Arabidopsis thaliana: one gene and its partner. The protein of the gene in region 2 interacts with the protein of the main gene of each other region in a pairwise test. Each region holds a gene or a part of one and is shown on either strand. Other genes may lie near its edges.

Region 1 (4,067 bases), on a different chromosome or scaffold from region 2:
ACCGGATAGCGCCCAGACTTGTCTTGCCGGGGGACATTCAAATATTAAATGATTGATGGTTTCTTCATCCGCCCCACATCTAGGACATTTTTTATCTCTACCAATATGGCGAAAATATAGGCGTTGACAAGTTGCTAAACACTCTGACACACATTGCTACACAAAATGCTTTAGCTTTCGTGTAGTTTTTAATTTCCACGCTTGCGCCTTTAGTGCCGTAACACTAGGTCCCTGAAGAGGGTGGTCGCAAGACGGGCGAGAGAGGGCTCTCGCAGCTTCATATCTTGTCTTGACAGTATAATTACCGAACTTAGTCAATGTCCAACTATATCCATCTCGCGAGACATTTAGCCTCGGTTTTATCCCTAAAATCAAAGTAATATCCTCGGGGGGGGGGGGGGGGGAACAACTCCCGTAGACGATCTACTTTCCACCTCTTCGTCTGGAAGTCAATCAAGGTGTTAACGTAGACCAAAGGGTTCCTATCCATAATTAAACCTTTCGGTGGTCTTGGAGGAGTATCTGGGATCCATGGATAATAGGCGACTATATGTTCTAGGAGGTTGCACAAAGAAAAAGTTTGTTCTAGCATAATATGAGAATAGATGATTTACGTCTTAAAATTAAACTATCACCGACTAATAATAAGCATAATAAGATGTGACTAAAACAACTAAGATTAAATGATGATCATCATGACATTTGAAAATTATATAAACCCAAATCATAAAGAAACAAGAAACAATATGAAAACAATATATTCCTAAGATACAGCAAAAGTGGATGTATGTGAAACGTCCAAAGAGATAATTTGAGGATTAGCTGCGGAGTTCAAACATAAAAACGAAAGTTCAACTACTACTTTCATATTTAATTAATCAAAGTATTTAATTGCAAAACGGAACTTAACCTGATTGGATCCATAAGTATATTATCATTATTCTTTTACCAAAGAAATAAATAAATTCGTTTTTAATCATATTTAGAGCTATTCATGTTCTTGTAATCAATTAAAAGTTTCATTTGTTTACAAACATAACATCATATATACACTCAAAAACAGCAAAATTGAAATAACCATCTGACCAGAATGATGTGTTTGAACCAAAACTACTCTTGGAATCGAATATAGATTAAAAATATATAGTAAACTAATTTTTAGAGAGTTTGAGTGACTATTGACTAAACTATGCTTCCGTGAAGGAGGTCCCTTTTGCAAGTGGACATACGTGAGAGACCCACCATTAATTTGTCTTTGAGCCTTATTGTTGTTATTGACTTTTAGCCAATAGAAAGAGATGGAAATTCAATAATTATCCACAAAATTCCAAATCATTGGTGTACAAAAAGATCTAAGGCTGTTATATTTTCAAAAAAGAAAGAAAAGAAATGCAACAAATATGGATTAAACTGTGGTTTGTAAATTGAGCTTTGCATGAAAACTTTATCACTATGATTTCACTACTCCATATTTATTGACTAAAGTGGCACTAATGAATTTCTTAATCATGAAATCTTGTATCAAAAAGTACTAAAATAAACATGACATTGGCAATTAGGAAAATTCTAAATTAGAAATTAGTAAAAATGAAAGGTGAAAGGGAAAGATGATGATATGAATTGGTTGGTGACCAGGAGAAATGTATCCCGATTTTTGCAGACACTTTCAGTGTCCCCATTCATATAATTATGGCCCACCTCGTTAAGATTTTTCATTCACCACCATAACAAGATCTAAGCTTAGATTTCATGTAATTAAACATATAATATACTTGCCAATACTATCTAATAAAGTATACTTAAGCAAAAATTATTACTCTAGTGTAAGGCGATGAAATATAAGTTTAGTTGAAAATTTATGTCGATATAACAAAGTATAATGAATTAAGACCTTGGTTTTCGATTAACAAACTAATTAAACACTAGTTTTGCCTAATAAAACCGGGAATCGTATTCAAAACCGAACGACAAAACAAGGGACAAGTTGAGAGACAAAACCAAATCAGCATCTTTCTTCCAGAAATGTCATGACCACATGACGTCATCTTGACCCTTCTTCATTGTGATATCTGTGGATAAAGCGCACGTGTTTAATTCACGAACCTTCGTAGTAACGAAAAATCCACAACTTTCATATTTTTTAATTACCCACTAAACTAAAACAAATTTGGAAAAACATGAAAAACTTTTTCTTTTTTTCCAGGTTCGTGAACCTCGTACCCTCTATATAAACCTCTTAACCACCTTCCACATAGAAAAAAGTTCAGATATTTGATAAATCAATCAACAAAACAAAAAAAACTCTATAGTTAGTTTCTCTGAAAATGTACGGACAGTGCAATATAGAATCCGACTACGCTTTGTTGGAGTCGATAACACGTCACTTGCTAGGAGGAGGAGGAGAGAACGAGCTGCGACTCAATGAGTCAACACCGAGTTCGTGTTTCACAGAGAGTTGGGGAGGTTTGCCATTGAAAGAGAATGATTCAGAGGACATGTTGGTGTACGGACTCCTCAAAGATGCCTTCCATTTTGACACGTCATCATCGGACTTGAGCTGTCTTTTTGATTTTCCGGCGGTTAAAGTCGAGCCAACTGAGAACTTTACGGCGATGGAGGAGAAACCAAAGAAAGCGATACCGGTTACGGAGACGGCAGTGAAGGCGAAGCATTACAGAGGAGTGAGGCAGAGACCGTGGGGGAAATTCGCGGCGGAGATACGTGATCCGGCGAAGAATGGAGCTAGGGTTTGGTTAGGGACGTTTGAGACGGCGGAAGATGCGGCTTTAGCTTACGATATAGCTGCTTTTAGGATGCGTGGTTCCCGCGCTTTATTGAATTTTCCGTTGAGGGTTAATTCCGGTGAACCTGACCCGGTTCGGATCACGTCTAAGAGATCTTCTTCGTCGTCGTCGTCGTCGTCCTCTTCTACGTCGTCGTCTGAAAACGGGAAGTTGAAACGAAGGAGAAAAGCAGAGAATCTGACGTCGGAGGTGGTGCAGGTGAAGTGTGAGGTTGGTGATGAGACACGTGTTGATGAGTTATTGGTTTCATAAGTTTGATCTTGTGTGTTTTGTAGTTGAATAGTTTTGCTATAAATGTTGAGGCACCAAGTAAAAGTGTTCCCGTGATGTAAATTAGTTACTAAACAGAGCCATATATCTTCAATCCATAAACAAAATAGACACTTTAATAAAGCCGTGAGTGTTAATTTTTCAATCTAGTTTCATTTCTTACATGACATTCACGGCTTTATTAAAGTATTACACCATATCCCCTAATACAATCTCTTAACTCAATTTGAGTTCTATATTGCTAAGTAGCCAAAACTTGATCGAAGAGGTAACAATTACTAAAACCAAAATCCATCAACAGTAGCGCGACAATAAATAATAACCTATCTATTTTAGATTTTTTTTTGTTGTAAATGTTGTGAGCTTAAGTGTGTAATCACTTGTAAATGTTTCTGTTTGATACTCTTGAGAAGATGAAGCTGTCTAAGGTCGACAAGCAAAGGCTCTGCTAGAGAAAATTCATTTAAGCAATCAATTTATATCTTTGATTTTTGAAGCACATAAAACTTTGAACCCAATAAAGGTTTAGAATGAGAAAAACCGTGTCTCGCCTAGAGGATTCAGTATTGAAACCCAGTTATTCTCTTAATGGACTAAGAACGAATATTCTTTTCATTAATGGGCTTTAACCAACGAGAGCTGATATTTATTATTGTTAATGGGCTTAACCAGTTTGTAGCCCACGGATAGATAAAGAGAGGACCAGAACACAGTTAAATAGCACCCGCCGCAGAGAATAATAACTCAGGAAGGGTTTATAGATTAGGTTTTTAAGTCGCACCTCTCTCTCTCACTGCCGCATCTTTTCTTAGGGTTCTTGTTTCGCTATCTCTTAAACACAAACAGCTCTGTCCGAATAATCTCTCTTCAAGTACCTCTTTTTTCTGATTCTGTATATCGCCATGAATTACTGATTTCCCTCTCTATAAACCCATCAAAGTAAACCAATTTCTCCTGTGACTTGTACCTAACTCGATCTTACCAGACTGGTGA
Region 2 (3,804 bases):
TCACCGCCACGAATTAGACCATTAAGGTTTGCAGGACTACTTTAACAAGGAATTGTAGCTTTGCCAGCTCAACAACAGACCGTAGGCTATTTAGTTGAGAGCTGAAGGTTTAAAGGGGAACTCTTTTGTCTAGGATTTTTGTAATGTGCATATGGTCTGAGCGTTGAGATTTTTCTCCTTAATCTAAGTCTTTCGATTGTGTAGCGAACGAAAACCGTTTAGAGCTTGTTGGTTGGTACTTGAGACACAAAAAAGTCTCATCTCAATAGATTTTAGGATCACTGCTACATTGGGTCAAGTTTAAAGCATTCATGTCTAATTTTTCGCCTTGTTCCATTCTTAAACCTTGGGAATTATGTGTTGCACAGGGAATAGTCCTGAAGATATTGGTGGGATTGGGATTAATTAAGTCGCATCATTTCTGGTTGGAGGTGGATCAGCTTGAAGAAGCTCTGCAAAATGTGCTTGTATGTCTTGAGATGATCGTCTTCTCCATCATTCAACAGTACGCTTTTCACGTTGCTCCTTACAGTGGAGAAACTGAAGCTAAGATGAGATTCAACAAGAGAGATTGATTCTGAGAGTGCAGACTCTTTCCAAATTTAGACCAGAGAAGATCTTATCTTCTTCTTTTTTTGGTTAATGTGAATGTTAATGTTGTTATGTTACCACTACCATCGTGATTGATAATGTACCTTTGTTTATTTGTTTTCCTATTTTAGGAAAGAAAGAGCATTATAAAGTAGATTGAATTATAGTGTTCCCATTAACTAATATCTTTGGCTTTACGCAGAGGAGAAAATATCTATTCAATGACTTTTAATTACATTGTTAACGAAGAAGAAATATCACTAGGTGCACCAACCAATTCCACCCTTATCCAATCAATAATACAAAGCAGAGATTTTGTTTATCCGTGACTTTCTACTTTTGTTAACTTGTTATTGTCGTGTATTGAAAGACAACCAAAAAAATTATGAAGAAAATGATTTTAATAAGAAAGACCATGACGAGCCACTTCGTTGTCCAGTTTCATCGACGCGAACCTCTCGTCGTTGCATTTTTTTATAAACGCTTCTACTTTCCGGTTAAGCTCATCCCTACTCCGTGACACTTTCACCTTCTTCACCTTCACTAGCGGCGGAGGTGGCGGCGGCAGAGACTGGTAACAGTTAGTTCTGTCACTAAACGTCTCCGATTTCTTCAAAACACCTGATTGTTTTGTCTCTTCGCCAAGTCCGAACGTGTCGGGTCTCTTGTAATAACTGGTCAACGGAAGCGTTGACTTGTTGCCTTCCATAATCATCTTCCACGTATTCTCTAACGTCTCGTTACGTTTCGGTTTCGCAACTCTCAACGCTCTCATAGAATTCCTTTCTGAAAAATTACGAAATTAACCTTTTAACAAATAGTGTTTTTAGATTTTTATAAAATATCTAAATTCGGATGACGTCACCTTAGTGATTAAATATCTAAATTAAATTACCTGCTGGTGTAGTCTTAACCACCGGTTTCTTTTGGCCGATCCTAGCCGTAACAAGAGGCTTCTCCACCGGAGGTTGATTTTCCGATTTGCTCACCACAATTATACACTTCTTCTCCTCCTCCTCTACCGTCGCCGGCCTCTCCTTCTCTTCATACACAACCTCCGGCTCCTTAACGATCTGCAAAACTTTGCCGATGAAACCAAAATCCGCATCTTTCGTCTCCGTTCGTCGCCTTAGAGGAGCTTCTTGGACGATCTGCTGATGATCAGTCTGAAACTTATTGTCGCCACTGTAAGAAGCCTCATAGTCTTTGCCGTCGACGTGGCTGGAGACAGTAGTAATCCGGTAGGAAACTCCGACAACGATGATGATGACGTTAGTGATGACGTAAAGATACGGCGGTTTCAGCCACGTGAGGAAAGAGCTCAAAATAATCGGATTTTGTGAGAAATCCATAGCCACAGGAACAATAACCTTTAGATGCATAGCCGTGGCTACGACGCCAGTAGAGATTAGCACCGCTTTCATCCACGACGCCATTTTCTCGACTATATCACTGTTACTCTCTCTATCTCTTGATATTTATCTGAGTGTGATATTGTTGTGACGCTCTTAAGTCTTAGCTCTGACTCTATTATTCTTTCTTTCGGTTTATATAGAAAGCTATGAGAGGGGACAATGAGATAGCTGATACATACCGTTGGATCTAAGAATAGAGACATGAACGGTCAGGATTGTTTTGGGGCAGTAGATGCATCCTCTTGTATAAACAAAACAAGAGTAGAGAATAAACCCTTTTTTTTGTTGTTGTTTATGTCTTATTGAATATTGACACGTACTCTAAGCTTCACGTGTCCACACTTATGTCTCTTAATTTTATCCCATAATTGTCTTATTATCTTATATACGTCAAATAATAATTCTCTTATTAGTCAACCTAGTATGGCCATTCGTTATAATTCCTTATTTTTGTTTCCGATGGTTTCCCAATCACACGTTATGCCCACGTCTTTTAGCCTTGCATGTATGTTTACTTTTACCGGTATATTGGGTTTTATGTTAATTTTAGACAAACGAGAATAATGTTTTGAGCGAATTCATAACTAATTACTTTACGGAGTATAAGTTTATATGTTCTTTTATAGATTACAAACTGCATTGGATGTAAAGCGTTGTTAAAAACCTTTTGCAAAACAAAGAAAAGAAAAGGTTGTAAAATATCTTTACCTAAAAAGAGTTGTAAAATATCTAAGATGGATATTTAATATTACTTAACAAGTATTAAAGTATAGTATTTTTTTGGTTGGTTTATATAAGGACAATCAAGTAAAAACAAGAGAAATCATATCATTGAATTGTTTTTAGAAAAAGTAAAATCTCACATAATTTTAAAAACGGCTTGATACAAAAGTTTATAGTGTATAATCTCTAGTTGATAAGATGTTACAAGAAAATGACATTAAATTCTTTTCTTAAAATAATTAAATTGTTAAGTATTTTACTCATATTAAATAATATCCTACCACAAAACAAATTAATCCATAGTATGAGTATCGCCAAAAACGCAAAAACACTATTTTTATTATTATGATACATTATTTATCTTTCAAATGATCTAGTATCTTATTTATGTCACCGGATTAAAATGAAGGATTTCATAATAAAAATTATCCCTGACGGCAGAAACCCACTAAGGTATTTTTAAGAGTTAAGAAGTAAGAACGGGCCAAGGTAGATGTCAAGTTTCTCCAACTGTCGTCGTATATTTGACTCCGACTCGTCCCAAGTGGCCATCCACTCTTTACTATTTAATCTTTTTCTTTGTCGACCACTACTAATTTCGCTTACAGCAATGATGAAAATACTACTACTGCTCAAACCACAGATATTATCCTTACATTTTCGGATCTTACCCTTTTGATATATCTAAAAAAGCTCTTAGGTTTTTCTTTAATATCTCATTGATGATTTCTTAAAAAGGGATATGTTATAATGGTTGCTTGACTCGAAAGAGCAAACACATATATAGTTAACAGTGTTATATAAACGTAAACTTTGTTTGTTTGATTTGATTGTTTATTTTCATTTGGATTGAATATATAAATTAGAAATATTACCATTTGAAAGATCGATGTACTAAATTATTATATACTTATAAAAAGAAAATTACAGACAATGACATTCCGTCTTTAACAAATTAGAAGGTAAGAAATTTCAAAAGGTATTTTTGACGTTCTCACAATAATAATAATATCCCCATGCTTCATTTGATTCACATCTCATCTAGCACAAGAAGAGCAATACGAAATTCCAATTT

Evidence for each region.
Region 1: the proteins of AT1G11210 (region 2) and ERF2 interact in a two-hybrid assay, tested with the Arabidopsis thaliana proteins (one large-scale study listed by BioGRID).

What each region holds. Positions count from the first base shown.
Region 1 is NC_003076.8:19,171,012-19,175,078, reverse strand, and holds ERF2 (ethylene responsive element binding factor 2), read left to right. Parts: upstream 1-2,122; 5' UTR 2,123-2,324; coding exon 2,325-3,056; 3' UTR 3,057-3,436; downstream 3,437-4,067. Other genes in the region: AT5G47210 (Hyaluronan / mRNA binding family), read left to right, coding at 4,067-4,067.
Region 2 is NC_003070.9:3,754,885-3,758,688, forward strand, and holds AT1G11210 (cotton fiber protein, putative (DUF761)), read right to left. Parts: upstream 2,115-3,804; 5' UTR 2,028-2,114; coding exon 1,487-2,027; intron 1,378-1,486; coding exon 992-1,377; 3' UTR 784-991; downstream 1-783. Other genes in the region: AT1G11200 (organic solute transporter ostalpha protein (DUF300)), read left to right, coding at 369-575.